3 linked regions of the Lytechinus pictus genome follow. The protein of the gene in region 3 interacts with the protein of the main gene of each other region in a pairwise test. Links are inferred from orthologs where the notes say so. Each region holds a gene or a part of one and is shown on either strand. Other genes may lie near its edges. The genes, in order: U2 snRNP-associated SURP motif-containing protein-like, putative pre-mRNA-splicing factor ATP-dependent RNA helicase PRP1 and splicing factor 45-like.

What was found.
Region 1: the proteins of splicing factor 45-like (region 3) and U2 snRNP-associated SURP motif-containing protein-like interact in binary tests that used the Homo sapiens proteins (3 or more experiments, as listed by UniProt). The link is inferred for Lytechinus pictus from reciprocal best matches to the Homo sapiens genes RBM17 and U2SURP.
Region 2: the proteins of splicing factor 45-like (region 3) and putative pre-mRNA-splicing factor ATP-dependent RNA helicase PRP1 interact in binary tests that used the Homo sapiens proteins (3 or more experiments, as listed by UniProt). The link is inferred for Lytechinus pictus from reciprocal best matches to the Homo sapiens genes RBM17 and DHX15.

The regions. Positions count from the first base shown.
Region 1 is NC_087260.1:6,517,974-6,529,385, reverse strand, and holds the start of U2 snRNP-associated SURP motif-containing protein-like, read left to right. Parts: upstream 1-6,757; 5' UTR 6,758-6,806; coding exon 6,807-6,836; intron 6,837-11,412. Other genes in the region: elongation factor G, mitochondrial-like, read right to left, coding at 222-314.
Region 2 is NC_087256.1:1,566,540-1,577,759, reverse strand, and holds the start of putative pre-mRNA-splicing factor ATP-dependent RNA helicase PRP1, read left to right. Parts: upstream 1-7,006; 5' UTR 7,007-7,068; coding exon 7,069-7,133; intron 7,134-11,220.
Region 3 is NC_087247.1:38,894,394-38,905,700, reverse strand, and holds the start of splicing factor 45-like, read left to right. Parts: upstream 1-6,114; 5' UTR 6,115-6,211; coding exon of another isoform or gene 6,212-6,264; 5' UTR 6,265-6,746; exon of another isoform or gene 6,747-6,750; intron 6,751-9,259; exon of another isoform or gene 9,260-9,343; intron 9,344-11,307. Other genes in the region: ribonuclease P protein subunit p14-like, read right to left, coding at 2,215-2,293, 4,908-5,069, 6,212-6,264. UniProt on the Homo sapiens protein: Splice factor that binds to the single-stranded 3'AG at the exon/intron border and promotes its utilization in the second catalytic step. Involved in the regulation of alternative splicing and the utilization of cryptic splice sites.

The sequences.
Region 1 (11,412 bases), on a different chromosome or scaffold from region 3:
TAAGCAAGGGGTGCATTTGCAGAACATGGCAAATACTTGAACTTGTTTAGGGTGCTCTTCGAAACCCCATGCCCATGGCATGTACGTGGACGCACATCCAGTCGTCAATCAATGCAAGCAATGCAATGGAAGTGGATTAATGCAATTCATAAACACACTATTTTCTATAAGTGGGACCGGGATGAAATTTTAAGATAGAATTAACTAGATATCTAGCTCACCGAACCGTCATAATAACCGTTGCACCGACGAGTTTGAGCGAAATTTCTCACGAAATGTGAATGTCTTGGTAACAAAAGCCTCATCAAGCCCATCTTTTATTTTGATTCCTTGGTACGTGTAAATTACACTTCTTATTTAACGTTATCGTTAGTGGCCCACCCCGCAGATCCACGTTCTGTTCTCTGGTAACTTTTAATTACGCAATCGCAGATTCGCGCAGCTCCGGGGCCCGTTTCTCAACACCGTCGTAAGTCTAACTTCTTGACTAAATAGGAGATAGTGAGCTACTTGTCTGCTAACCGTTTCACGAAGCCCTCTTTACCAAGATCGGGTACAACAACCTCACTAAATATTTATGACACCTCCGAACCTGTCATAACTTCTTTCTAAATGACGTAGTGACATCACGTGGGTAGACTATGACATGCAAAAGTGCCTAGAAATTTTAACATTATAATCTTACGTAATCAATCATAGAGGTTGAAATTACATCACAAAACAAGTGGGAGAATGCACTCAATGTTAATTGTAAAACAAATAAACTATAAAAACTGTTGGTAAAAGGCCATAAAACCATTAATTTTGAAATAGTAAAATGATTTAATCGATAAAGATTCTACCACGTCAGGCCATCCATAACTGAACTCGTATTTGTTGTTTTCAGACCCCTATTAACAGTTGGATAAATTCTATCTCTAATTTATGCATATAATTTGTAAAATATCGTATGTTTTGGTATCAAAAAGAAAAAAAAGTTGTTAAACTATATTTTTATGACGTTTGAAATCGTAAAAGACCGTATATCTATCCTCATTTTACAAAGAAAACCATTATGGTTTACTTTCGTAAACTATTAAAATTGGATATCCCGGGGGTAACCATCTCAACGTCCACAAGTGATTTTTTAGTCATGAAATGAATTATTCATAATTTGATTTTCTCTGCAATTGAATGCTCCAGTCTTCATGGTCTAAGTATGTATGATGCATAATTCACCTGTGCTATTATTTTGAAAATATTTATTTCCCAATTTATCACAATATTTGCAATTTTGTCATAATTTTACATTTTGAAAATTATGCTATTTTGTGACTAAGGCTACGTCTCGTCTGCACTTTTTACCGATAGTATCGATATCAAGGTATTCTAGTTAGGAAGCCTTTCGAGAAACAGGTTTAGTAAGATTGGAACTAACTCCGTGGTAGGTGGATAAAGATATGACTAACTTGTCCATGTGTTGAGAAACGGGCCCCGATCTCTATTTCATAACGTGCTCGCCGCGCCGCGCTCGCAAACAAAGTAAAGAGCGCATCCATACGTACGGGCGCAGGTATATAGAGGAAAGAAAGAAGTAGGGAGGCACGGATCCAAACTTTGGGCGCCGCTGTGGCCCTTTTATTTGGCGGCACAAAAATCCGGCAAAAAATTTTAGGGGTAAATTAAGAAGGAACGAACAAGGAAAGAAAAAAGAGATAGAGAGCTACACGAAGGAGAGAAAAAAAAAATAGATACAGGATAGGAGGGGGAAAGTGATTACAATGAGAAGAATTAATTAGATAAGCCTACATCTCCTGGCCTATTGTGATGTTCCGTATACAAATGGCGAAAATAGTCAAATTTACAGGCTGCCAAATTATAACAACCCCCCCCCCCCCGTATATATACATACATATATATATATATATATATATATATATATATATATATATATATATATATATGTATGTATATATACGGGGGGGGGTTGTTGACGGGTATTGAAGACGGGTATTGACCTTGCTACGGCCCTCTCCATACAATTGATCTCAAATATAATTATGAAGGAGACCCGTACACGTACATCGCCAAGATTGATCACATTTATATATATATATATATATATATATATATATATATATATACACATTTACACATTTATATATATATATATATATATATATATATATATATATATATATATATATATATATATATATGTATATTTATGTATATATATACATATGCCTTAAATGTATGTTAAATTATCTTATGTAACAATCACGTGTAAAAAAAGGCAATCGAAGACCACCTTTTTTAATGTGTTCATGAAAAAAAGTCATCACTTTTTTAAAAGAATAAATGTGACCAGGTGGGGATTCATAAAGCTATTCGTAAGTCTAGAGTGACTGGTAAACCCTTCTTACGCTCTAAAAAGAAAGGATCCCCAGTCGTTCTTAAAGCCGCTCTTAACTTACTATCAGCTTTGTGAAACTGCCCCCTGAAAGCATAGAATTTTAAGCATTTGGGGATTTTAACTTCTCATCAGAATGTAGGCCCTACTAAAATTATGTGAGCGGGAGCTAACATTTCTTTATAAGGGGCGGATCCAACTTTCGCTAACTTGAGGGGGTAGGTGGAAAAATGTTTTCATCTGTATGTTTTCCCCTGGGGCCCGTTGCAGAAAGAGTTGCAATCAATCGCAACTCTAAAAATCATGCGCAACTTGATTTTCGACCAATCAACAGCGCGCATTTTGGACTTGCGGTTGATTTTTTGACTTGCGTTGAAACGCAACTCTTTCTTCAACGGACCCCCGATCGGATATTAAGCACTTTTTGTAACCGTGAACGTGATGGGTATAAACAATAAATTGATGCTGGTGCGAAACGGGAGATGAAAATTTTTTTTTTAATTCTGACCTCAAATTTGGAAAGTCTGTAAGCACTTTTGGTGATCAAGAACATTTGGGTATATATCTCAAAATTTTATGCAAGCGCAATGCGCGAGCTGACAATTTTTGTATTTCCGACCCAAACTGGACATTCTAAGCACTTTTTGTAACAACGAAGAGGTTGGGTATCTATATAAATATTTGATATTCTGAGTTTCTGACCCAAAACTGGATATTCTAAGCACATTTTGTAAACCATGAACAGGATGGGTGTCTATTATTGTGCGAGCGCAAAGCGCGAGCGCGAGCTGAAAAATTGATATTCTGACATAATATTTGGACATTCGAGTAAACATTTTTGGTAATCATGAACAGAATGAGTATATATAGCTAACAAAACATTTTATGCGAGCGCAAAAGTGCATGCTGAAATTTTTTGATATTTTGACCCAAAGTTGGAAATTCTAAGCACTTATATCTATCCATGAACAGGATCGATCGTCACCTTACTAAACAACTGATGCGAACGCGAAGAGCGAGATGAAAATTTGTGATATTCTGACCTTAAATTTTGACTTTCTAAATCACTTTTGGTAATCATGAACAGGATGGGCATCTGATTGTGCATTTGTTATTGTTATTGCAAATTGTTTATCGAGAATGTTCTACATTTTGTTCTATTGTCACTGTATATAGGCCCCCTATTGTTATTGGTTTTATGATTATTACGTTATTTAGTGTTTACCATAAACACTTATTTACTTTTCTTGTACAGTCATATTGCTTGCAATGGATATACATGTATCCATTTGTATCGGTTTGTATGGTCTTCATTTTATATCTGTGTAATTATTTCCTATATGTGATGTTGTAGGCTATCATTGAGTTGAAACTTGAACTTGAACTTGAACTTGATGTTTTGGGTTTTTTTTTCTCGTATGTCGGTCTAATTCTATCTCGGAGCTTAACATTCTTTGGATACATGTGTATGTTTTTTGTTTTTTATCTTCTTTTGATAGTGATTTTTTTTTATCAAACCGTAAACTTTGTGAATGTGTTTTTTATTTTTTTCAATAAAACTAATATATATGTATATATATATATATATATATATATATACCTGCAATCTTACCAGGTTGCGCAATCTTACATTATATCATGTAAACTTACAGGAAATTGGTATTTGGTGTATGGAACCTTACAAATTTCCTTGAATAAAACAGCATTTTCTCCTTTTAAAACAGACCTGTTCTGTTAAATTGCAGAAAAAATTCTTGTTTAATGAATTTGCAGAATGATTGTTTTACTGCTTTCTGCAAAATCTTCTTTTTTCTGTACTGATTCACTACTGAATCACGTTTTTCATATATATATATAGAGAGAGAGAGAGAGAAACAAGGTTGAAACTTTCATGCTTTAAAGGAGAATGAAACCCTTGAAACCAGCTGAATCCATATCAAAGAGAAAAATCAAAGAAACATATTGTTGAAAGTTTGAGGAAGATTGAATGAATAATAAGAAAGTTATGAGCATTTGAATATTGAGATCACTAATGCCATGTAGATCCTCTCATTGGCAATTCGACCAAGATCTGTGATGTCACACACGTACAACTCCCTCATTACTTTAGTACTTATTTCACTTATATTCTCACTTTTATAGAGTCTATCACAAGGTGAGGTGTTCTCTTTATGAGATGACAAGTACCAGGCGCGGATCCAGGAGGGGGCCGAGCCGGCCCCGGCCCCCCTATTTTTTGACAACCTGCAGAAAAAAGTGTACTCTTTAACTTGATAGAAATTATGAAAAACAGAAAGAAAAGTAAGAAAGAGGTAGCATACCCATGATGTGTAATTTACAGCCTCGTAACGGCCGGCCCGACCCCGAAAGGAAACAAGAAAAAGGTGAGGGAAGAATTGGAAAATAGACTTTATATAAAAGATTTCGCTCGCGCTTCGCGCTCGCATTGCCTGTGTAATGAATCCCATTCAAGAGAATTAAATGGCACTTATATATCCAGTTCTGAAATCAATTTGCACACAATATTTTAGCTCGCACATCAAGCTTTCATTATTTTGTTTGATTTACACAAATTGTTAGTATATATCACAATTTTCAGCTCGCGCTGCGCGCTCGCATTGTTTGATTTGTGAGTTACCTATCCTCTTTGAAAAATTCTTACCAAAATTTGTCAAAATGCTCCTTTATCATGTCAGTATATCAAAAAATTAAGCTCGTGCTTCGCGCTCGCATTTAATTGTTTGAGACACACAGCTTTGTTCTTTATTAAAATAAAAACGCGCTTAGACTGTCCAGTTTTCAGGTCGGAATATCAAAAAAATTTAGCTCGCGCTTCGCACTCTCATTATTTAATTGGTGATACTTGTAATCCTCTTCATTTATCACTAAAAAACAGTCCTAATTGAATCCTCTTTTCACGTTACTATAATAACATTTCGACTCGCGCTTCGCGTTCGCATTGTTTAGTTGGATACTTATCTTTTTCATGATTATAAAATCTTCTCAGAATCTTCAGGTCTAAGGACATAAAATATCAAAGAATTTGAGCTCGCGCTTCGCGATCGCATTATATATTAAGACCACATGAGATACCTTAACTTGTTTATAACAATAAAAACTAACATATACTTAAAACTTCAGTCTTTAGTTAGGACTACCCCCTGATAAACCAACAAAAAATCTGATTATATAGCGGCCAATCGAGAAAAATGTTGATGAAAATATTTTTCGGCCCCCCCCTATTGGCGAAAGCTGGATCCGCCCCTGAGTACAGAGGTTTCACAACATTATATCATTGATGAATCGTTTGTCATATGATTAGAATGAGCAAAAAGAGATGTTTGGGGGTATATTTTCAGTGTCCAAAAGGGGAGAGTTGTTCATCTGTGACATCATAGATATTGGTCGCATTGCCAATGGGAGGATCTCCATAGCATTAGTGATCTCGACATTCAAATGCTCACAACTCTTCTATTGCTTGTCTTATTTTACTCAAACTTTTGTTGATCTTATTCTTTGATTTTTCTGCTTTCACAAAAGCTAACTTGCTCCAAGAGTTTCATTCTCCTTTAATCCAACAAAATTTATTGAAGTCCACAAATTTTCGACGAGTATACAAACCGTCTTTATCGAAAATTTGTGGACTTCAATAGATTTTGTTGGATTAAAGCATGAAAGTTTCAACCTTGTTTCTCTTAATATTACTCCAACACGTGGAATATCTACCGAATATATATATATATATATAATTTATATATATTCTTATAATATATATATATATATATATTCTTATATATATTATTATAATATATATATATATATATATATATATATATATACATACATACATATATATTTCAGTTTGACGCTGATCCACCACTGTTTGCATGGGCTTAATTGCCATATGGGCCATATGGACGCACCATTAGATAGGCTGGAAGTTTGGGTTACTTAATTGATGCAATTTTTTTTCCTTTCTTCTTTGTGTAAATTTTTTTTTCCTTAGTCCATCGAAACAAGTTTTTTTAATTGCCCCTTTCCGGTCCTCTCGGATCAGTGATTTGTCAGTGGACCAATTTTTTTTTTTTTTTTTTTTACTCTATATCTGCATGGTGAGCCGGATGGTGAGTCATTTTTTTTCCTTTTTGCTCATTATAGCAAGTCAATTTTTTTTTTTGAAAAACTTGCAGCCCCCTGGATATATCTAATGGTGCATCCCTAAAAGGATCACTCGATCTAGGGCCAACCATGTATTGTATTTAGGAGACATAGTTTTGATAAATGCATGCAGTATCCATTATCCAATGTGCAGATCTGGCGACGAGCTCGCGCCGCGCCCGTACGTACCCGGCCGGCCGGCCGTGCGCGCGTGCGATATGTAGACGCGTGCGTTTCTGGTCGAAGGTTATTCATCATGGCGGGCCTCGCTCCTGGAACGGCGAAGGTGAGACGAGCTTATTATATTTTATCATCAGTTATTGTAAACTTATTGTAATATTGATGGTGTTTCTGAGTCTTTGAATGTTTTTTACGAGTGTTGAATAAAGATTATATTTCTTGACACCTTGTCCGAAAGGAAATATTGCAACCAAGCACGCAGTCATGTCACTCAACGCAACTGTGAACTGGCATGACTGGTGCCGCGCCGTGATGGAGTGAGTGAGTGAGACTGACGTGTGTCACTGCATACAGTGCATGCAGGCCCAGGCTAAGTTAGGTGTGAGCGTGTCGATTCATTGCACATGCACATGCATGTCTGCTAGCTGCCTGAGTGTAAAATGTGAGTTATACGACTGAAAGAGAGTGACTGAAACTAAGTTAGTGTATTTGTCTGAAATGAAAGATGCCAGCAGTACCAGTGGTTGCCCCGGGGACCTCGACACGTCTATTTAGACAGTGTCGAGGTCCTGAATGCAACCACTCGTTATCACCGGAGTACAAAACTTCGCGATGTTTGGCATTAGAAAACCGATGATCATAATGAATTAAAAATCTAACGAGTAATATCAATCTTACCTAAGCAAACTGTTCCTAAATCAGCTTACCTTTGAAATAAGAATAATGAATACAATTCCATGAAATCCTTCAAAAGAGCATCAATTTTCGGACTTTTGTTCCAATCGCGAGATCGCCATGTTTGAGGTAAAATTCTGCGCATGCGCATATGAATATTTATAAGATGTCGTCACTGCATGCCTTTACAGCACAGTTTAATGAATATGCATGTAAGAGTGAAAACTTTCGGCAAGTCGTCTCTATTCAATTAAATCGTGATTTAGGCATATAATTCAATACCATTTTTCATTTTTTTTTTTTTTGGAAAAAAATAGATCTATATTTATGAAAAAAAATATTTATTTCATATATATTTTTATTTTGTTACATTTTGTGTTTTTATGATAAGTTTTTGTTGTCATTTGTTATATTCTTTCTTTCTCCTTTTCATTCTTTCTTTCTCCTTTTCATTCTTTTTTATGCTTTGTTTATGGGAAGGGGGGGGGGGGTAAAGCGTGAATGTTCGCTTGGTGTGTGTTTTATTTCATATAACTTCCTCAAATTATTTTGATTTAATGATACTAAAAATGAAAAAAATATTTATCAATAGTGTGCTTGTGTTTTAATATATTCAGAGATTTCTAGATCCGAATTTTTTTAGTCTGTATTATTATTATTATTCCCTTTGTGATTATAAAAAATCCAACAAATATTTACAAATGGATTCTAATTTTACATTTAGAATAACCAATTCATGATTTTCTTAAATATGAATTCTGATTCAATAACGTAAATGATTTCATGTTATTTATCTTTTTCACATGTTATAACAATGAGGAAGGATTGAATATGGTTTTAAAACAAAAGGAAATACTTAAAAACAATTTTGCCTGCTTTAAAAAGAAATGCTAAGTCAAGATGTTAATATATATTTATAATTTAAAAAAAAAATCTGCCGCTTTGATAATCACCAATCACCATTTGTTGTTTAATTCACCGCATGGCAGTAGCATAATCAACCCCTCACCTGCCCCCCCCTTTTTTTCGGGGACGAAATATCCTCAATTTTTGGTTGAAAAAAATTTTTTTTTGCTTGTCAAATTTTTCATTGGCCCTGTGCCCCCCTTTTGGAAAATCATGGATCCGCCCCTGATTGAACTCATTTATATGGAGCACTTCTACACTGTCAAAAATATTTTTAACAACGCTGTTTACTGTGAGAATTGCATAGTAGTTGTTTAAACATTTTAAACAAGTGTTTAAAATTTAAACAATCATGTTTAAATCATTGATAATTTAATATTTGAATTTAATTATTGATAATTAAATATTTAAATTTAAAATGTGTGTTTTAAGATTTTAAATACTTGTTTAAACTGTTTAAACAATTACTGTGTGATTCACATCGTAGACAGCGATTTTAAATTTATTTTAACAGTGTATTTGAATGATTAGGAACTTAATTAATGGCGCAAAGTAGACGACAGGAGATTGATGACATAAACTTCCATATAATTCTATAGTAATATTGTACTGTCTTTTTTTATATATACGGCACAATTTTTATAACTCCCCCTTTTAAATGAGGAACAGGCCGTCCGTGGTCCCCAAATAAATTATGACCGACTAGTAAAGAGCTGAAAAACGGAAGAAGTAGCCTTTGTGGGTATACGGCATTATCATTATAGAGTTTACCACCCTGACCTATAAGGATCGGGAACGTTGGTGATCATTTTGAATAAAATATGACTTCATATACTTTGACCTATAATCTTAATACTAATTCCGTTCCCAAATATTATTCTTTAAAACTTGATGCCGCCACAAAACAAACTAGCAATATAGCCGAGATGAAAAAACGGGGTAATAAAGAAAAGGTAAACAAAGGAGAAAAACAAGGATTTTCTCGCAAACATGCGCGGAAGTAAAATTTTAGAGAGAATGAGAAAGAAAATCCCGCAAAGCTTTCTTTTTCGCCATTGTTTACCCCTTCGCTATCACCGTTTCTCTTCTCTTTTTTTTTGGGGGGGGGAGTTAGGGTGGGGAAGATCATCCCACCGCCTCCTTGCTACGTACTTGTTATAAAAAAAAGGAAAAGGTGCATGATAATGAGATTTGCATATATTTTCATTTCATTTATTTTAAATTCTCATTAAAACATACAACATACAATTGAAATTAAAACTAAGGATACATGCACAGTATACAAAATAAACAAAATGGAAAACATAACAAGTGAGAGAGAGAGAAAAAAATATGTGGGAGCCAGCATTGGATTCCGTGATATTTTTAAAATCATTTTGCATCACGGAGTCCTCTAGGCTAAGCCAGCAACAGAGCTGCCAAATAGTACGATTTTGTCGTATTCCGTACGATTTTTCACTTAAAATACGACACTAGGATTTTTACAAATAAAATACGATTTTTTGAAAATATAGCTATGGTAAGGCTCGACATAACAGAAATCCACCTCGGGCAATCATTATTGAAAAATGTTAAGTTTTGGTGGCCCGAATCGGGCAACCAATAATTTTCAAAGTAGCGCAATTTTTCTCCCGATTTTGCACCATTTATCAACTTTATACAGTTCAAATTGCAACCAATTCGTCATGCGCCCTTTTTGTTGATCTACACACAAATACACACACACATGACAGTACATAGGCTTACCGCTCTAGCATACAGTAGCTATTATCCAGCCGGCCGGCTGGCGTACGTGAGCTTTGCATGAAACCACTGCAGCTACATGTAGCTATCTGTGCGCTATCAGCCTATTCAGACTCGGGGAGCTACGATACGAAATGTTGCTGCTAAGATATCTTCCACAGAACTTTGAAAATCTATTTGCAAGCATTAAAAACAGGAATTATGACCTCTCTTTTGACTCAAAAAGACCGATTTCCAAATGTATTAATACACATAAAAACACATAGGTGAGTACATCACAGTCCCATATGTGCATTTGTATGTATGTTGATACTTGGTTTCTTTCGAAGCTGTGTCTTTTCTAGCAAAAAATAAGCAGACAGTTTTTTCCTTTTTGTCTCACCTGCATAGCAGAGTGAGACTATAGGCGCCGCTTTTCCGACGGCGACGGCGGCGGCGGCGGCGGCGTCAACACCAAATCTTAACCTGAGGTTAAGTTTTTGAAATGACAGCATAACTTAGAAAGTATATGGACCTAGTTCATGAAACTTGGCCATAAGGTTAATCAAGTATTACTGAACATCCTGCCTGAGTTTCATGTCACATGACTAAGGTCAAAGGTCATTTAGGGTCAATGAACTTAGACCATGTTGGGGGAATCAACATCAAAATCTTAACCTAAGGACAGTTACTAAGGTTAAGTTTTTGAAATGTCATCATAACTTAGAAAATATATGGACCTAGTTCATGAAACTTATACATAAGGTTAATCAAGTATCACTGAACATCCTGCATGAGTTTCACGTCACATGACCAAGGTCAAATTACAGTGAGCACAACAAAATAATGAGATGTATAGTAGGAAAGTACACGACGGGTATGAATAGGATTTTTTGTCTAAAAATAGGATTTTTTGGGTGAAATAATAGGATTTTTTGTCAAGTGTGGTTGGCAGCTCTGCAGCAAAGCCCTGTCAGACGCTGGGTTCCAGAAATAGGCATCAAAATCTTAAAGAGATGGTTTGCTGATCACTCAATAATTTTGATCAACGAATATATTCCTTTAATATATTAGTGTTCATTTATTTCTTCACTTTTTGTCTCACCTGCATAGCAGAGTGAGACTATAGGCGCCGCTTTTCCGACGGCGACGGCGGCGGCGGCGTCAACACCAAATCTTAACCTGAGGTTAAGTTTTTGAAATGACAGCATAACTTAGAAAGTATATGGACCTAGTTCATGAAACTTGGCCATAAGGTTAATCAAGTATTACTGAACATCCTGCCTGAGTTTCATGTCACATGACCAAGGTCAAAGGTCATTTAGGGTCAATGAACTTAGACCATGTTGGGGGAATCAACATCAAAATCTTAACCTAAG
Region 2 (11,220 bases), on a different chromosome or scaffold from region 3:
AAAGCATAAAAACATTAACCTCCGTAACGCATTAACCGTCCGTAACATTTTTTCTTGAATATGCTACAAATTTGTGCTTTACTGAATCACTCTGGATCATACAGATATAAAATACCCTCCACCTAGGTACCCATAAAAATCATAGCTATTCATCCTTGTCAAATCATTATTACACAACTGATTTTCAACATCACTTTGAAAAGAGAGAAAACTGCCAACAAAAGCAATTTCCCGAGAATTATTTACGATAGTTAATGCTTTGGAAATTGAAATAATTCATACTACAAATTTTGAATATTGGCATTTCTAATTTCCTTTGCTATATAAGTTATTTCAGTAATTGTTACGGAAGTTAATACACTTCTCTGCTGTACTTTGCTGAGATTGATAGTACGAATCTAGTTCCACAAAAGGTGTGGCTTTGTCTAATGCTCATGAAGTCGGCAGAAACGGTGGAAAGGGAAGAAGGAGAAACAATAAGCTTTCATGGACAAGGAAAGAGAAAGAAAAACTATTTGCAATGACTCATGAGGGGGATTAATATATCACCAACCACAAATGTGAGAGCGAAGCGCGACCTAAAACTTTTGTATAGTCTAACCTGAAAACTTGACATTCTAAGCATTTTTTTTAAATATCAGGATGTTATCTGAATAAACTATTAATACGAGTGCAAAGTGCTAAGCTGATTTTTTTTTCGTATTCTGACTGCCGCTTGACATTATAAACACTATTTGTACCAAATACAAGGATGCATGGGTATCTTAATTGATGCGACTGAAATTTTTTATATTTTGATCTTAAAAAATAATTAATGGACGTTTTAATTTGAGAACAAGATATATAGCCAATGAACAATTATTGCAAATGTAAAACGTGCGCTTTTTGAGGTTTAGACCCCAAAACGGGACATTCTATTGACTTTTTGTAATCATAAAAAAGGGTGGATGTCTTGCTAACTGAGGAAATGATGCGCAGCGAGTGCGAAGCGCGCAAGCTGAAAATATGTGTCATTTTAATATGAAAGCCAGACATTTTAAGCACGCTTTCAAATAAAGAGGATATATAAATTGAATAAAAAATAATTTCATGCAATAAAATACAAAAGAACAAGTGGGGATTACATGTGTAATATGTACACCATCAATGAACTCTTGTAATATTCATGAAGATATGCATATAGACTAAACTGTTTCACTAAAATAATGCAAATCTTAAAAATGGCATAACTCCGTTATTCCTTGTTCGATTTTGAACATATTTGCAGTATTTTGTTTGTCTGATTATTATCTGCTCAGATCACATTTTTCTTTCATTTTTTCAGCCTGGATGACCCCTTTAATGCGCATGAAAAGCGCTGAAATAATTGATATAGGCCCACTGACATGAAAACATGGAAAGGGATATTTTAAACACTCACGGTTTGTTGGAATTTATAGGAATGAAATACGTATTTCGATAATCAAACATTTTGGCTATTTATCATTTTTTAAATCACGAACAGGATGCGTAATTGCGTATCTCGATGAAACAAAATAATGAAAAAAAAAATATCGCGATTAGATAGATTCCATTAATAATTTGTGTATATTAACTTACAAACGTGAATTTTTAGCCTCTTGTTTCATTCACCTTCCTTTTTTTATTCATTTCCCCATGTCCTTTTTGCTTTTTTAAATGTTTTTTCTCTCTATCTTTTTGGCTATTGGCAAGCGGCTGGATTCCTCGTAACCCTGCAGAAAACTCATCCTGGTTACGGGCCTGCGATTGTTATATTTTGTTTATTGCCAGAAAATTTTAAGATGAACTACAATTCTGTGGCCCGGTTTTTCGGTTTTCTCATTCCAACTGTGAACAACAACGACAACGAAAAATACAGTTGTCTGTTTCCTGTTCTGTTTTTAACATTTTTTTTAGGGGGCGGCAGAATTAAGCTATGCGTTCCACATTTATTTTTATTTATTAAAAAAGGTTATACGAATACCTAAATATGGATTTTCCTAAGCTAACAAAATAAATATTGCAATTTGTAACTTGATTAAACTTCCGTAACAAAGATTGACAAGGTTAAATGCCACTCGAGGATTTGATTGTAAAGTATTTTGGGATTCCCAGAATTGGCCATGCGTTAATATTGCTTAGGATCTTGCTTAGGATTACTTAGGGCCAGAAACTTTTAAGATGAACTACAATTCTGTGGCTCGGTTATTCGGTTTTCTTATTGCAACTATGAACAAGAACGACAAAAAATATGACAGTTGCCAGTTTGTTGGTCTGTTTTTAACATTTTTTAATGGGGGGTGGCAAAATTAAACAATGCGTTCCACATTCATCTTTAATAAATTAAAAAAATGTTATACGATACGAATACCTAAATATGGATGTTCCTAAGCTAACAAAGTAAGTATTGCAATTTGTAACTTGATTTAACTTCCGTAACGAAGATTGACAAGGGTAAATGCCTTTGAGAGGATTTGATGGTAACTATCTTTGGATTCCCATAATTGGTCATGCATATAGCTTAGGATCTCAGGTTCTGGATGAAAAGTTATTTTAAGGTTGCCTCATTCAAATTATGAACATTAAACTAAACGAAAGATGTGCAATGATTTTTATGGTTTTTTCTGTTATGTTATTTGGTAAAATCCTGCTTCTGAAAAACAATATTGAATATTTTTTTATATCTTGCAAACATTTTGGCTTCAGTAAATGAAATTGTTGATACCACACTAATATTGAATTGTGTGCATTTCTATTTCAATCATTTCAAAAGTGATATAACTGAGTGACATAAGTGGGCAATGCTAACGATTAACCTCCGATAACATTGATATATATATAGTGCTTCAGTATCCGGTCAGTACTTCAAATTGACGCAACAGCGACTTGCCCCTTTTCTGTTGCCACTTTCTCATACATGGTACTTTCACAATATGCATCTTTCAACCCACTCTGTAGACTTCATTTTTACGATTTTTTCTCCCATCAATAATTTGGTGCATTTTTCTGAGAATAACCCTAAAAAATAAAGTAAGTTTCACGAACATGGTAATGACAAAAGTGAAATGAAAATAAATTGGTCGCAGCTAGCTCGGAAGGAGATGAAGCTCTAAAGGGTTTATCGGCTATGGTCTGGGGGCAATTAAGCCCCCGCCCCCCAAAAAAAGAATAACAATAATAAAGAAAATGATATGAAAGGGGTGAAATATTTCAGAATGAATAAAAATCTATCAAAAATAAGATTTTTTATAATAAAAAGGCAATTCTTTAATTCAACTCGCTTCACTCGCTCGTAGCTTTTTTAAGAAAATTAATGGAATTATAGATTGTCCAATTCCAATGGAAAATCATTTATGCATATCAATTAAACCATACTATACAAATAACGCCGCCCCCAAAAATCGCACAGGCCACAAAGTATAAGTAAATATATTTTCTTCTTCTTAAAGGGATGGTCCGGGCTGAAAATATTTATATCTTAATAAATAGAGTAAAATTCACAAAGCAAAATGTTGAAAATTTGATCAATATCGGATAACAAATAACAAAGTTATTGAATTTTAAAGATTTGCATTATTCCGGTGAAACAGTTCCAGGCATGTCTTTATAAATATTCATTATTTTTAGCTGGGCTGATGCTGTCACATCCCCACTTTCCTTTTTCTTATGTTATTACATGAAATCATAATTGTTTAATTTTTTCATGCATGTGTAAATTATGTGTCTCCATATTTTGATGAAATAAGTTGCGCCAATAATGCACTTAATCAGTTGTCAATCTAGTTGTTTTATTTCTTGGTATAGTAAAAATTTGAATAAACCTAATTTCATATAATAAAATACAAAAGAACAAGTGGGGATATGACATCATCAGCCCACCTCATGAATATTCATAAAGACATGCCTAACACTGTTTCACCTGAATAATGCAAATCTTTAAAATTCAATAACTTCGTTATATTGTTATCCGATTTCTTCTCAGCTTCTTCTTCTTCTTCTTCTCAAAAGGAATACATTACAGGCATTAATTTCAAAGTGTGCAAAATTTCTATAATATGTCCGTGTTAACTAATGGTCCGGGCTGTAATCCGATTTTGATCAAATTTTCAGCATTTTGCTTTGTGAATTTTACTCTATTTATTGAGATATAAATATTTCCAGCCTGGACCACCCCTTTAAACCTCCTTTACTTCTGATCGTCACCCCTGATCATTATGCCTTGTGTTTTGTCATTTTAATTCTTATATTCATCTCACCTTATGTAGTACTTGTATAAATTTTTTAATGCTTTTTATGATGAGTCCTGAATAAATTTGAATTCTTCTTCTTCCTTCTTAATTCTTCCGGCTTCCGGAGTCTAATTAAGCTGGCCTTAATTTTCCCATCTTCGCGTGATCTGCTTGTTATTTTTTAACACATGCACACGTTCGTATATATAATGCAGAAAGTATAATGCATAAATGTAAAGGTGCTGCTATTAGAGCAAGAGTCAGGTGGTTAGAAAAAGGTGAAAAGTGCACAAGTTATTTTTTAGGTTTAGAGAAATATAATTCAGATAGAAAAAATATTACCCAATTGTTATCTGTAAACAAAGATAAATATTGTACTAAACAAACAGAGATATTACAGGAAGTCGTAAAGTTTTATTCATTGTTATTTAGAAAATCTGATATCGATAAAACTGAGAGAAATAATTACATCAAGTCAGTTCATGTTCCAAAGCTGAGTGATGAAGGAAGAAATAAATGTGAAGGATTGTTAACAAGTGCCGAATGCAAACGTGCTGCTTTTTCTATGAATAAAATCAAATCACCTGGTCTGGATGGTATTCCCATAGAGTTTAACCAAACCTTTTGGGACGACATCAAATATATTTTATCGAGCGCTCTTAATGAATGCTTCACAAATGGAAAATGTCTGAAAGTCAGAAAGCTGGTCTTATTACAATGATTTATAAGAAAGGAGACCATAGAAATCTAGAAAACTGGAGGCCAATCTCACTTTTAAATTGCGATTATAAAATAATGACCGCAGTTTTGGCCGCACGATTGCAATCGGTTATTGGACAGATCGTTAGCGAAGAACAAACTGGTTATATAAAACATCGCCTGTCTGCCTTTAATATACGTCTTACAATTGATGTCATTGAATTTATGAAAAGAAAATACTTAGATGGTGCTATAATGATGGCAGACTTTTCTAAAGCTTTTGATGTAATAGATATAAATTTTGTGTCCTCATGTCTGGAAAAAATGAATTTTGGAAATAATTTCCAGACATGGATAAAAATGTTGTACACAGATGTTCGAAGCTCTGTATTAGTAAATGGCTGGATATCAGAGTCCTTTTCAATACAAAGGGGAATTAGACAAGGCTTTCAGCATTACTCTTTGTCCTCGCAGCAGAATTTATGTCTAACAAAATAAGAAATAATGAATACATAAGAGGTATACCTGTTTTGAAACCAGAAGATAATTGTGAGGTTAAAGTACTACAACATGCTGACGATACCCTGTTCTTTGTGTTAGATAAAAGATCACTAAAATTGATAAATGAAGAACTTGAGTTATTTGGGAATGTAGCAGGTCCAAAACTTAATAAAACTAAAACAGTGATCATGTGGGTGGGGAGAAGTAACTCCAAATGGTCACTCAATGATATTGGTCTATCATGGACAGATATTCCTACAAAATACTTAGGGTTTTACATCTCACCTGATATAGAAAAAGCACGTAAAATGAATTGGGAAAATAAACTAACGAAATTGCAAAGATTATTATATAATTGGAGAAAAAGAAAGCTTACTATTTTTGGAAGAGTAACCATTGTCAAAACTCTAGGTTTAAGTCAGTTAGTAGTTAGTACATATTCTCATGGTTGATATTATTCCTGAGAAAATGTTAAAAAGACTGAATTCTCTAATATATACTTTTATTTGGCATACAAAGATTGAAAAAGTAAAAAGACCTATAATGACCAACAAACTAGACAATGGAGGGGTCAACATGATTAATCTATATACCCCAAAATTGAGCTTTCGACTAAGATGGCTGGGGCGCATTCTTGCGTCAAGTAAAGGAATGTGTTGTAAATTCAGCCTTTATTGGTTTAATATTTTAGGTGGTTTGAAACTACTCCTTAATTCAGACTTTGATGCTTGTAATATAAAACATATATATGCAAGCACCATCTTCCAGTCTTTTACATTAAAATATTACAGGCCTGGTTAAAGATAAAGAATAATGCTTGTTTAGAATATCACCCTAAAGTACATGGTCTACAATACGAAATTTTGTGGCACAATAAAAATGTAACCTTTCGCAACATCACCCTATTTTTTGAAGGATGGTATAAATCTGGGATATATAGTATTTTTGAAAGATATTCTCAGGAATGGAAATTTCGTGGAAATTCATTCCCTTCTTAAATCGCAGAAGAGTAAGCAAAGATTGATATTCGACTACACATTATTACGTCAGGCTATCCCTAAAATCTGGATAAATGATAATACATTACCTTGTACCAACCGCAATAATAAACCTTCATTAGAGTTTCCCAAAATAGATGTAGGAGCAAAAAATCAAATTAAAAATTTTCATGATATTTCAAGTAAACAATTCTATAGACTATTATCCTTAGATTCATCGAGCACTATAACAGATGCTATTTGTATTGGGAAGAGATAATTGGGTCACCATTAGATTGGACAAAAACTTTTAAAAGAAACTTGTGTCACTGTAAAGAAAATAAACTGAAAGAATCAAATTTTAAGGTTATATATAATTTATTGCCAGTAAGAAAGAATTTGTATGCTATAACAGATGGGAGATGCCCGCATTGTTACGTGGACGAAGATAATGTACATGCTTTCGTTGAGTGTAATTGTAAACCAAATAAGACAAGAGATTCTTTTCTTATATTTGACAACAGTAGCTAAGTTTGAATACAATGTCGACCTTCTTACTCGATACTCTCTCTGTTTTGCTGCATGCCCTCTACGGTAAATACCGTCGCATTGAGTAATTGTTTTTGCCTTTTTGCGCTACTGCAGCGAGAAATCCGAAGAGAATGTCAAAAAGACGTTTAGATATCGATGATTCATACAGTAAACGGAAGGGAGAATCTGATTATAGGTAATGACGATGACTTGATACTGATTTGTGATATTTTCCAATCTATTAATACGTGAAAAATTGTTTTTTATTGTCTTCAAGTGAGAATGATATTGTAATCGTGACATGTGCATTGACCATTGTGGATACCGGTACGGTACGTACGGGTGTCGTTGAGTGATGAGGATGCAGCATGGCGCTCGCCGCTGCATGCTGCATCGGCTATATCTAGTATGAGTGACTATGGGCAGGGAAGTGTTATAGATGAGTCTGACTAGCAGCAGTGATGTGTGACTGTGAGGCGCGATGACCCGTGGCGCCTGGGACGATGCTGTGCTGGCCTAAAGCTAACCTAAGTAAGATAAGTTTTTTTAAAAATGATTGTGCGTCTCAAAGACAGAGTCGAACAAAACACAACTTTGAATTGCATGGCATGGCTGTGTTTATATTACTAAGTAGTGTATCGTTCATGTACTTCTTCATAAAATAAAAAAAATATGGTGCTAAATGGCAGTTTCGCACCGCCACGCACCGGCTAACTTCGCTCAAATTTCCCCAAACCACTCATTTGTTTGCAAATGTTCCCGTTCCTGATTGCGATATTCGGAAAAGCAATTGGCATATTATTATTGACCCTAATTTAAAATGTGATCGAGACTAGAGACTTGCTTTGACTATGAGTGACATTTGCAGAAAATTATTTCTTTGAAGTAGGCCTGCGCGAAACTGCATTAAAGGTAAAAAAAAATATTGGGAAGGGGTTGGGTATAGCCTTGAGGACTCTGTGATGATGTTATTAATATTTTTACATATACTTTTACATCACGGAGCCTTGAAATCGTTGCCATACATTTCAAACAGTTCATATATTAAAATTATTAATTATAATAATATTCTCAAATTTTATTATTTAATAAATAATGATTTTATTTTTAATCTATGAATTGTTCTTCAAAACGGCACTTCGTAACATAGACCAAAAGCTTCAGTCTCTGTATTTTGGTTGTTCCGCTGAACTACGTTGGCTCCACTCACCATACATAGACTGAAGGGGATGGGGCCCCGTACCTACAGCCAACGTATAGTGAACTAGCGTTTTATAGATCGCGATTTAAAACTGTTTTTTAAGCAAAATTGAAAGTTTCATGGTTTCCATTATCAGGGAAATATTAATAACTTAAGTAATTGCATACCTTGGGCCGGAGTTATTGAAAAAAATCCTCTGGATGATTGAGAAATCTGTCATCTAAGACATTTTCACCTGACCTGACGGTCTTTCTTGCAAGTTGCCATCTTGAATGACGTCATTATCGTATTAACTTAATGTCTCGAATCGATATATCGCGATTATAACTAGTACTAGTACTAGTATAACTAGTATCGTTTATCTTCGGTTTCGTTCGCATATGGAGCAGATCGTATAATATCGAAAGCAATATCGATATCACATTCGTGATTGTTGACGTTCGTTTGTAAATATTTTATAGTTTGGCTGCCATTTTGACCATTTTTATCGTGTTCAACCCAATTAAACATCGGTAAAGTATATTTTTCATGCCTTTTTCATCTATATCGTTTAAAGTATTTAAATGTTAAAATACAAAGTTTTAAAAGTTTGTTGTTAATACATCCTTAGATTGTAAATTCGATGTGTAAAATTACATCAAACTTTGAACTGTGAATTGACAAAAGGGAGGGAATGAGAACACATGCGAGCCCACACGTACACCCTACCGTCGGTAAATGGGGATTACAGTAAAATGTCAGAAATTGTTGAATAAATCCCCAGAAACGACGGTTATTCCTGTCTATTCGTAACATAGCTCATAGAAGCTACGTCATATCGAAGCGGTTCAAGGGTCAAGCCTATTGTATTTGTAGTGTTTACGAATGGATCGAGGGATCTACATGAGATTGGTCTGGTACGAAACCTCTCATTTTTCATATTTATACTAACATATTTTACCCCTTCAAGTTCAGGCTTCATACACATAAGGCGTATGAAGGTTCATAGATAAATAAAATCAAGAGAAACAAACCGATTTCACCCTCTAAATATGGATTTCCTAAGGAAATCTATCTGTGTTGACAAGTCTCGCTTAGGCATGTATGGCGACCATTTCAAGTAAAAGTATATGTAAAATATTAAAAAACATCACAGCGTCCTCAAGGCTAGGTTGGGTACAGGTTAAATCTTGCCTCCTTATTACAAAATTAGTCGCTTTTCTGAGATGCGCCTATATTCGACATGTGTCATGATTCAACATGTTTATCAGACTTTTTTCACAAGCCAGTGCAGTCAATCACCACAGCACACACCAAACACATACACAGGCACTATCACTCTCCACCTGTGTTATGCAGGACAACAAAAAATTCAAGAGCTGTTACTGTCCCAAAGAAAGATATAAAAATAATCCTTAATATCAAATTCATCATGTGAAAACACTTTAAACTTTACTTGTATGTATAGCATTGTAAAATACATTTAACTTCTGAAACAGAACAAAGTATCTGCCAAAAGTACAGATGTCACCGGTAACGCAAAGCCATAGTGTACGTACTATTAATAGTGTGAAATTCTAATTGTGTTTGAACATGACAACGCAGCTTCTTGAAGTTCATCAAATGGATCCCAGAATTTTCCTTCAAGTAGCTGCAATGCCAATTGCTGTTTTATGATCGCACTAAACAAAACCATTGAGGATGTGGGAGAGTGTGGATTCATTTCAGGGGTAGGATTTGTGTTACCCTCCAGTTCTCCACATCCTGAATCTGGCCTGGGAAGGTAATTACCTCAGAGTGGATTCAGTGGAATCTTAGCTCTGTGTCCTTCTGACACTCCTCAGTGAAGACAAACATTTTGGAAAATTTCGTTCAGATCAAGTATGCTCTTACTGGCACCAATGGTTGCCATCCATGGACCAGTCAACATGTGATGAATGATACCAAGGCATCGGACATCTGTCTTTGCTTCTGTTGTCCATGTGTTCATGAATGCTCTGTGCAGGTCATTTGAAGGTTTCATTACCTTAGTAAAATATTTTGTTATCCCATCTCCTACCTCGCTTACTTGCTACACTATGAAACAGGATATTTGAAGCGGTTACCAACCAAAGGTGGTAAATAATTGATAGAGCGGTTAGAGCCTCTATCCTTCAAGGTCTTAATTATACAATATCCCAGTGGTAGCATTGTTGAAGCTATGCTGAGCAGCATGTATTAGAGCCTGTGCATTACTTTCCCCTCGCCGATGGTATGGCATTGCGTTAATGTTTGGAACTATCCGCTCCTTGTCCTGTGATGTCAGCACAGGATCAGGTTTGTTTGCGATTGAATCCAAAAGGTGCATCCCACATCTAAACTTTTTTGACCTTTTCCCAATCTTCTCTTCAAGTTGTGCATCCACAGTAGCATTGGTAACACACCTATCTGTCATGGTATTGCTACCCTCTCCTAGCACATCACTTTCAGCACACCGCGTAATTGCATGGATATAGTCAAGTGGCGTAATTTCCTTCAGCAAGAAATTTATCCACACTGTGCTGCACTCAACCCAGGTGAGATGAATGGGTACCCGGCAGGAAGAAATTCCTTCAATGCTTTGAGCGCCTAGGTAGCCCAGCTAAAGCCGGGGTAATAATAATAGCAGGGCCCGCTGGGAGAACAGTTTTCGGAACTGAAGCGGCTTCCCTGGGTAAATATACCTGTATTATTATTATTATTATAAGTGCTAGACCTGGCTGCTGGTTCTTTCCCATTAAATAAGTTTCGCTTCAAGAAGAAACTTTCACCTCTGCAATGTGCCCAAGGTTCCCTTTCGTCGTTCTATCATACCATACTTAAGTGTTAAGTTTCCTTTATTATAAAGAGCATCTGCAACCTGAATTCGGCATACATGTTGATGTAGTGCTTTCATTTCAGCATCAAGTCGATACTCTTATCGGATATTACTTTCTTTCAGGCTACTCATTTCTTATTGATTTCCTTTCTAGCTACTGATTGTTTCCTTATGGCTTCTTTTTCTCTCTGTGTGTCTTTTAGCCATCAGGTCCTTGATATTTCCTTCCAGCTCACTAATTTTTCCTCAGTACATTGTTTCCATATA
Region 3 (11,307 bases):
AAATGTCTCCAAATTTGAAACAAGTGGAACGCCTCTGGCAGTCTCGCCTGCATTACGCAATTTGATATAGCAGCAGTGCTTCTTTTGAAAACAGCTAATGAATAATAATTCACAGAACAGGAGAAAACACTAATATGATAATAAAATTTTATGTCCATTGACCCAAAATGACCTTTGACCATGATCATGTGACCTAAGACATATATGCAAAAACAATCATTTAACTAAACTACCCTTATGTTAATGTTTCATGAGCTAGATTCATATTTTTTTAAAGTTATGATGCCAATTCAACACATACTCCCAACACAGCCAGAGTTCATTGACCTTTAAAGGTCAAGTCCACCCCAGAAAATTGTTGATTTGAATCGATAGAGAAAAATCAAACAAACATAACGCTGCAAGTTTCATCGAAATCGGATGTAAGATAAGAAAGTTATGACATATTTAAGTTTCGCTTATTTTTCACAAAATAGTTCAATGCGCAACTCAGCGATATGCAAATGAGAGAGACGATGATGTCCATCACTCTCTATTTCTTTTGTTTTTTTATTGTTTGAATAATACAATATTTCAATTTTTACAGATTTGACAATAAGGACCAACTTAACTTAACCATAGACTGTTAAAATAATGGTAATTGCACATGTTCAGGGAGAAATAAAACTTTGTTTCACTTGACAAAGAGGAGAAAATTAGAATATTTCATATTTCATATAATAAAATACAAAAGAAATAGTGAGTGGGTGACGTCATCAGTCTGCCAATTTGCACACCGACCAGGATGTGCATACAACTGTTTTGTGAAATTAAGCGAAACTTTAAAATGTCATAACTTTCTTATTTTACATCCGATTTTGATGACATTTTCAGTTTTTTGCTTGTTTGATTTTTCTCCTTTTTTTCAAATCAATTTTTTGTTGGGGTGGACTTGTCCTTTAAATGACCTTTGATCTTGGCCATGTTCCTGAAATGCACACAGGGTATTCAGGGATACATTGCTGCTCTTATGTCCATGTTTCATGAACTAGATCCATAGACTTAAAGTTATGATGGCAATTCCACAAAAACCCCCCATTACCAAAGTTTGTGGACCCTGAATGACCTATGACCTTAGTCTTGTGACCTGAAACTAGCACAGGATGTTCAAGGATACTTGATTGCTCTTATGTCTAAGTTTTATGAACTAGGTCCATATACTTTCAAAGTTAGGACATCTAAAAACTAAACCTTGGTTAATATTTTGATATTGATTCCTCCAACATGGTCTAAGTTCATGGACCCTAAATGACCTTTGACCTTGGTCATGTGACCTGAAACTCAGACAGGATGTTCAGTAATACTCGATTACCCTTATGTCCAAGTTTCATGAACTAGATCCATAAAATTTCAAAGTTATGACAATTCCTCAAATACCCACAATATGGCCAAAGTTCTTTGACCGTAAGTGACCTTTGACCTTCCTCATGTGACCTGAAACTCATGATATTCAGGGATACATGGTTGCTCTTATGTCCATGTTTCATGAACTAGATCCATACAATTTTAAAGTTATGATGACAATTCCTCCTCAAACAACCCCAACGTGGCCAAAGTTTGACCTTTGATCTTGGCCATGTTCCTGAAATGCACACAGGGTATTCAGGGATACATTGCTGCTCTTATGTCCATGTTTCATGAACTAGATCCATAGACTTAAAGTTATGATGGCAATTCCACAAATACCCCCCATTACCAAAGTTTGTGGACCCTAAGTGACCTTTGACCTTAATCATGTGACCTGAAACTCAGACAGGATCTTCAGTGATACACTATTACTCTTATGTCTAAGTTTTCTGAACTAGGTCCATATACCTTCAAAGTTATGACATTTCAAAATTTAACCTTGGACCTTAATATTTTGAAATTGATTCCTCCGACATGGTCTAAGTTCATTGACCCTAAATGACCTTTGACCTTGGTCATGTGACCTGAAACTCAGGCAGGATATTCAGTCATATTTGATTACCCTTATGTCCAAGTTTCATGAACTAGATCCATATACTTACTAAGTTATGATGACATTTCAAAAACTTGGTTAAGATTTCAATGTTGACGACGCCGCCGCCGTCGGAAAAGCGGCGCCTATAGTCTCGCTCTGCTATGCAGGCGAGACAATAAAAACATGTATATATGTAACCTAAGAGTACAAAGGCAACTGTGCAGATGACTCACCTTTCGTGCAATGAAAGCACATCTCTGGTCTTCAAAACATCCATAAAGTGTCAAGGCACTCCAGAGCTTGACCAAATCACTGAATAAAAATAAATCATGTTAAGTTAATGTACTGCATAGCTACATGCGTATCCTTTGAATGTTTGATTTGATTTTAACGAAAATAGAAAGCAGAGGAAAGCTTCACAGAACAAAATTATTCCTAGAATTATTGGTACCAAAACCTTGAAAATGAAAATATACTAGTATGTAGGTCCTTTATAGAAGACCAGACCCATACTCCTTTCCAGAATAATTCATGATGGGTGTTAAATGCAGCCTTTCTGTGCCACCGTATAGGAAAATAAGAAACATGTGAATACAATCAGTTCACTTTAAAAACTTTCAAACATTAAGATAATTATGACATTTACAATAAAAGACATTGAATGACAGTGATACAAATTAATTCAGAAAAAAATTGATTCATTTATGGTTATTGCATTTTGTATACAATTTGTTTAACATGCTGTATGTTTATTGTTTTTTAAAAGATGTCATGTGTGTTTTGGGAATTTGAAGATGATTTCATTTTCATAGTAGTACTGTGAACCCGGGGGGCCACTTACATTGACGAGTGGATACCATGCGCGACCAAAAAAACACGTAAAAAGGATGTCCTTTTCACGATAGGGCACGTTACGTACGTAACGTGATAAGGTTGTCAAAAACACAAAAATAATGAAAAAAGGGTGTCTATTTCGCTAGGAAAATTACGTGTTTAGGGTCGAATTTGCGGGAATGATAAAACAAAATTAAAATGTTTTATAAAGGATGTCCATTTTGACCCAACACTTCGTGTTTAGAGTCCGATTTGCGCGAGGTGTAGAAGGTGGGGTCGTACTAAACCAAAATAAGGTAAAGCCGACGACCGAAGGACTCGTAACAATAAAACATTCCTGTATTTATTTAGGGGTTCATTTCAGGGAATATTTGCCAAGAGTATCGTTTTTGTTTCCAATACTTGTTAGGGTAGGGTTTCACACGCCAATACTTGTCAAGGGGTGCATTTTCAGAATATGGAAATTACGTGTTTAGGGTGCTTTTCGAGACCCCATGGTCGCGCATGGTATCCACTCGTGAATGGAAGTGGCCCCCCCCCCCCCCGGGACTGTGAACCATTGACAATGTAATAAACCATTAAATAAACAGACAAAAACGTAGTGAAGATGGAATATATGATTATAGGAATGGTTAATAAACAAACTTCAGTTTGAGTTGCAGTATATACATGTACTTCCTTTTAGGGGCAGGAATGGGGTACTTAAAATAAATGAAAACTATTGATACATATACAGTATTTTATAATAACATACCAATTAGTTTTATAAGTGAATGGGAACTTCTTGGAAATCCCAGGTAAAGTTAATAGAATTAAATAAAGTATGTGCCAGCACTACACCTCCAATGCACTTGGTACATGTTTGTATATTGGTGTAAGGTGCATGAGGATGATTTATCATCTTATTAATATTATGATGTCAAAGCTTAAAGATAAATTCCAGTTCTGGTGACGATCTCAAAATGACTTTTTACAGAATCTAATATAATGACCACCTAAGTGTCTGTTTGTATGAATAAAAAATATGTGCCAAAGGATTCTGGAAGAAATTGTGTAATTGCTATGAAATTAGCAAAATAAGCGCGGATTCTGTCACTTCCGTCGGGTCTTTATTCCAGCAATAATAATACACTGTCCCACGTGTGCCTATCTGTGTTGGCGATCTTCAGTGTGATCGTATTTCAGCTTAGATTTTATGATTTCACAAAGTTCAGTTTATGTAACTGTACCAGATCTAGATCCACGGTGATATAGTCATACTTAACCTTGGTTTTACAGACTTTCTCACGAAATTAGTGTTTTACTGCAACTACTATCATTTAGCTTTAAAGACAAAACTTTCTGAGCATGATGAATTTTTATTATTAAAATAAACTCAAATTCATGACGAGATATTTATAACTAAAAAACCCAGAATCCACACAAAGTTAATGTAGATACTTTGATTAGATTTAATACAAAATGGCATTTTGGAATATGAACTCCCCAGCAGACATTCAAATATATAATTTTCCTCATACAAATTTCTGTTTGTGAATGTGAATCAGTGTTCTAGCTAGACCCATCTTAGTGGTGGTCGCTATTTCACAGCATTACAAAGTTTTTTTCAGGCTGAGTTAGCAGTCTTATTTAAAGCCAAAAGTGAAGGAACATCAATGTAATAACAATCTTAAATTAACAACTCTTTGAAAATATAGGCCTACTAATATCACATGTAAGAATAAATAATGTAAATTATGCAAAAATAACAAGATTAAAGATGGATATGAACAGGTGTGCAATTATTTCATTTGAAATCAGTGGTGGATGGGAGCAGTGTTTTTTGTGAGTGGTGGTCAGATTTTTTCTGGGCTGGTTGAGCCAGACCACTGACGTCCACTGTCACTATCCAAATTGACCTCTACATGACACATTCCAGATATGCATGCACATAGTTTGGGATTAGTGGACGACTGAATGTGTTGAATTCTACCAGTGCAACTTGGCCAGGTTGAATTGTTTTGGGGGGGGGGGGTAGTTGGGGAGGGGGATAGGGATATTCTTGGACATTTCTTGGTTTCTCTAAGAAAATGGTAAATAATTAGATACACACCTCTGACGAACTTTAAGGATTCCCTGAATATTTTCAGGATCGTACATCAAAAGATCTACCAGAATTGCCACTCCAACGTCACCATGAAGTTGCTTTAATGCCAAACTCACAATTACCTCAAACATCCTCTCCTCGATAACTGGTGGTGAGCTTTCAAACTCTCTGTCGATGAAAAAGTAAGAAACAAATTAAAACCCCAACATATTCTGCTATCATAATATTTGTTCATATGCAATTCAATAACAATGAATAGAAATGTAAAATATACAGCATAGCCCTGGGAAGTTGGGTGCTGAAGCACCCACATTTTTCCAGGGGGGGGGGGCTGCAGCTATTTACCATATGCAGAACCCCATGGAATTCAGGCTGACAAGCAAGCAAAAATTTTTTTTTAAATAACCCCTTTAGTTTGGTTTTCAACTTTTTTTTTCTAAAGACACCCCCTGAACCCCCCCCCCCCCCGGCCCAGTACAGCAGTGTCAGCACTAGACCAAAAGCTTCAGTCTCTGTATTTTGGTTGTTCCGCTGAACTACGTTGGCTCCATGGGGATTACAGTAAAATGTCAGAAATTGTTGAATAAATCCCCAGAAACGACGGTTATTCCTGTCTATGTCAGCACCCGCTATTTAAAAATCAGGGCCCTGATGTATTGTAGGCCAATAGAGAAAGCATTGGATAAAATCCCCTAGCTTTATTTAGAAATTTTTATCTATTTTTGCACTACAACTGCAGACAGCTCATTTTCACATTCCACATTTGGTGGCAGCAGTGGGATACAGTACATGGGAGAAAAACGGCCCAGCCTCATGAGACACGTCAACACACAATAGGATTACTCATGGGATAAAGGCTCATAAAAAGGATGTGATAATGCTAAAATTTGTTGAGCATGAAGCACAGGCCTAATGGAAATAATTCTCTTCCACATCAAATCAAAGTATTGACTTTTGAGTAATGATTGGATTTTAATTTTTAAGTAACAAAGACTTTAAAATTGACGTCAGCTTCATTTTCAGGCAGCTGATCTGAACACATGATTTTGACATGCGTGTCGACGTCTTTCACTGAAAGACTGAAAGTTTGTCAAAATGAAAGGGTATTGATACTAACTTGAAGAAAAAATGAGAAAATATTGGTCATCAAAAGATAGAAGCAGAGAAATGAAGACGCTAAAGTTCAGTTCTACGTTAGTACATAGTGTAGACTTAAATTAAATAACGTGCCGTTACTCGTTACTTGGCCTACTCAGAATCTCTCAATATGTCCCCTCCACTTGAAATGAAATAATATCTCGTCTACTCACAATTTGACACTCAAATAAATGTATGCATTACAATCCATGATTTGAATCACCATTAACTCAGATCTTTCTAACGAAAGTCAGCTAGCTCGTGACTTTAAATAGCTTAGCCTTTGGCATTGCAGTGCCAGTGCCTAGCGCCTGCATGTCACAGTCGTCACAGCTAGACGGTCGAGCCGATATATATTGGCTGCTGGGCCTGGGAGCTGGAGAGAGCTAGCGAGATCGAGAGCTAGCTCTACATTCCGTCGTGTCTGATCTGCTGCTTCCCCTATAAAGGCTATATAATGATATTGTTCTTCATAATTTAAAAATGAATTTTACCTGAATAATATCAAAATATTTTGTTTTATATTTCAAAATGTAATAAGATGCAAAAATAAATGTAAAATTCTGGAACCCAAAATTCTGTTTTTTTTGAAGTTTTGTTTGAATAATTAAGGACACATCACAAAAAATTGGATCTCAGTCCAGGCGGCGCTAGCGGCGAGCACGAACGAGTTGCTCGAAAGCGTCTTCAAGATCAACCAAATTACCGGTATGTATGCTTTACATCCAATTATATTTTAATATTTATGTCAAACCTCAGTTATCTAGGTGTGTGAATATGTATAGAACGTTAAAGAAAGACATTTACTTTGCCTAAAGATACCGGTACGCTACGCCCAAGGGCCAAGTTTAATAGAACTAAACTTTCATATGCCGACTCCAATTGAGTGCGCTCGTCAGTGTAAACATATAGCGTTTCATAACAAGATTGCAGTAAGAGTAAATGGCAAGTCATAAAGAGTAGACGGCGCGGTGATGGGAAATGAACTGGAGAGCCAGAGGCGGCCCACTCACACTAGTACGAGGTTAGTATAACGTTAGAGGTCACAAAATTTATTTTTACTAAGCGTTAAGCCTGAGTCACTCATATCGATTATTTTGAAAACCGGTGTTCGACAGCTTTAATTCGATCAAACATCTGTAGTGACTTGACTATATCTTTTTATATATCTACATCTATGTATTCTTTCCTTGTATGGCAGTGAGTCCAAACTTCGCGTGTGTCCATACTTCGCGGACGGTCATTATCTAAAAAACTAGCCAATATTCTTAAAATCTGACATCATCAACGTGAAAAGCGACCTAAAATTACCCTTTGGTGTAAGTTTCTTTAGGATGAGTTCAGTATTCATGAAAATATTGGCAAAAGATCGGCAAATTTGTCACTGTTGGCGCCCGTTTTGAAGAAATCTGATATTTTCAACAAGCATCACGATATCACCATTTTGCAAGCAGAAATTATCAAAAATGTGAGTTAAATGTGGTACTAACCGATTCTATAGCATTTTGCCATCAATCTGATATAAATATTTCATTTTTTGAGCTTGAGTTTTTGTTTAAATGTCCACAAAAACTTTGCTCCGCGAAGTTAGGTCACACTTTTCTGAACGGTTTTCCAGCACAGCGCGCATTCGCCGATCAGAATAGAATTTTGAGATCGCGATACCGGCGAATCCCCTTGACCTACTTTACATTTTCGTCCATGATTTTGCAGTTTACGATCTTGCCGTAAATGTGGTAACTATTTCTTGAATTGGTTTTGTATAAATTATGAATATTTTGTGAACAAATTTAAGCCTGATAAATATTTTTGAAAAGTGCGCGAAGTTTGGACACCCCATCATATATATTTTCATTTATATTTCAACATTCTGTATATGTATATAAATTCTTTCTTTTATTTCAAATTTCATATATTCTCACTTGTTCACGCCATGTGTATGTACTACAATACTGTACATTCACAGAGCAAGACCATTTCCTGCCCAAATCTACTTCCTGAACTGCATTCTTCATCTCACATCTTTCTACGAGATGATGCTGTTACAAAGCCATTGCAACCTCCATACAGAGGACCCTTCCGAGTCATCCGTCGCACTGACAAGTATTTTACCATCGATTATAATGGTAAACATGAAAATGTCAGTGTCGACAGACTGAAACCGGCTTTCATCGAGCAGGAGGCTACCGCTCCTTCATTTCATCATCAAGATCCACCTGACCAAGTTCATCAACAATCCAACTCCACGGACTTGGCAGGGGATCCTGATGACAAGCATATGCCTCCCGAAATTCGTAAGACCCGTTCTGGTCGCCATGTCAGGTTTCCTGCCAAGTACGTTCAATTTTTCGGAGACGGTTGAAACATTTCTCAAAATTCACGGATGTTTCCACTCCTTTATTTTCTTGTTTTATATAGCCAAGTTCCCTTTTACTTTCCCTTGTCGATTTGTTACTACATTTCTATTCGGTACAAATCTAGGGGGGAGCTACTGTAGTGACTTGACTATATCTTTTTATATATCTACATCTATGTATTCTTTCCTTGTATATATTTTCATTTATATTTCAACATTCTGTATATGTATATAAATTCTTTCTTTTATTTCAAATTTCATATATTCTCACTTGTTCACGCCATGTGTATGTACTACAATACTGTACATTCACAGAGCAAGACCATTTCCTGCCCAAATCTACTTGGCAAACACATTCTTATATTGAGAAACAACCTTTCTTTTGTTCCTAGACTTGTAGCAAACATCCTTTCATTGTTCCTTGTTTATTACAATGAACTTGCAGGTATACAACATCACTACAAGATGCTTGCATGTTTGCTTTTCTCACAGTCTGCTTCTCTCTTCTTTGTTCTTTTCAACTTTGTTTTGCCTCCCTTTTTGACGCTTATTTCTTTGTCTCATCTTTTCTGATGTTGGTAAAAACAACTTGTTTTCTCTACCACATCATCACTCTACTCTCTGCCTTCGTCCTGTCCACTCATGCTGACCATCTCATCCAGCTGCTAGTGAGGATTGAATCAAATCTTGTGGAGGATCAACTTATACTTAATTATTTCTCTGCATTTTCCAATCTTATTTCTTACCGTCACTTCCACTCCTTCGAAGTCTATATTCTCTGCATATTTAATGAGCTCATTACTTCGCGAGACATTTTGTGACATCTGTCCCTTTTTCTACTCTATTTGAAATTGTGAAGTGTATATATTTCTATTCACGGATTTGTGCAATTTATCTGAGATTCTGAGCGGCTGGATCCCATTCTATCTTCTGGCGAGCAAGAATTAAGGTAGGACCTAACTTTTATATAAATATTAGGAGATCGGCTTTGCCAATTTCCTAAACATCGATGCATCGAATTTTGAAGGCATGGCGGGGAAAATCAAGTCTATTTTTTTGCTCTGCCTCTGGCATGTCTGGCCGGCTGTCGCATCGATGCGCACTGTATGCACTGACGGTATTAGACCAAAAGCTTCGGTCTCTGTTATGTTGGTTGTTCAGCTGAACTCCGTTGGCTTCACTCACCAAATACAGAGACCGAAGTTCTACTAGCGCGATCTGTACAGGGGACTCAATGGCCATATATCTGTTAACTTTATGTGTATTAAGTTAGGATAAAACAGGGCAGTGAAGTTGCGCGACAGCTAGCCGAGGTAAGTCACTGTTTTTGTTCCTTTTAACTTGATTTTCCCCGTTTTTTTTGCAATTAATGCCAAGATGGAATATTAATTTGCATTTCGGTCGGGTTAATTTTCAAAAGTTTGATTCATTAAAGACAAAAATTGAAGTGCCCCGACGGGGGGATTTTGCATTGTAAGTCCCCTAATGGTGGCTGCACGATAGTGAGCCGTCTGTGTACGAGGAGAAATTCAAAAAATAATAATATGTTAAAAAACTCCTCGAAACAGACGGCTGCCAGCTGTCTATGACGGTATGTGCTGGCCAGGTGAGCGTGTTGCACAAGCAGATGTCACAGAGCAAAGTTTGTATTTTCCATGATCACAAAAAGGCCGAAGGCCAATGTAGAATTCTTCCCAATAAGTTCAACAATGATATTTGCAGATGACAACATATAACTTAGTTTAAAATGAAACAAAGAAAGACATGAATCACGCAGTCGATCGGAATGATTTTCAGTCAACTAGCATTCGCAGTCCAGACTCGCACACATCAGCTCCGTACACTCACTCTCCCGAAACGACAGGCGTGCTTGCCAGCGCCACTTGTTCACTGCAACCATCCTGCCTGTGGGGACCGGAATCTACAGGTAGGACTATGGTATGCCAATGCTGTACACAGCACACACTTTAAAAATTCATTAAAATGTCACTTTTGTGACCAAAATTAATAATTTCCATACAGTTGCAATTTATTTGTCATTAGTAACCAGGGGCCCGTTTCTCAACACATGGACAAGTTAGTCATATCTTTATCCACCAACCACGGAGTTAGTTCCAATCTTACTAAACCTGTTTCTCGAAAGGCTTCCTAACTAGAAATAATACCTTGATATCGATACTATCGGTAAAAAGAGCAGACGAGACGTAGCCTTAGTCACAAAATAGCATAATTTTCAATTAGAAAAATTATGACAAAATTGCAAATATTATGATGAATTGGGAAATAAATCTTTTCAAAATAATAGCACAGGTGAATTATGCATCATACATACTTAGACCATGAAGACTGGAGCATTCAATTGCAGAGAAAATTAAATTATGAATAATTCATTTCATGACTAAAGAATCACTTGCGGACGTTGAGATGGGTACCCCCGGGAGACCCAATTTTAATAGTTTACAAAAGTAAACCATTAAAGTTTTCTTTGTAAAATGATGATAATTATACGGACTTTTACGATTCCAAACGTCATCAAAATATAGTTTAACGAAACATTTTTAATCATTGATACCGAAAGATACGATATTGGACAAATTATATGCATAAATTAGAGATAGAATTTATCCAACTGTTAATAGGGGTCTGAAAACAACAAATACGAGTTCAGTTATGGATGGCCTGACGTGGTAGAATCTTGATCGATTAAATCATTTTACTATTTCAAAATGAATGGTTTTGTGGCGTTTACCAACAGTTTTTATAGTTTCTTTGTATTACAATTATCATTGAATGCATTAACCCACTTGTTTTGTGATGTAATTTCAACCTCTGATTGATTACGTAAGATTATAATTTTAAAATTTCTAGGCACTTTCGCATGTCATAGTCTACCCACGTGATGCCACTACGTCA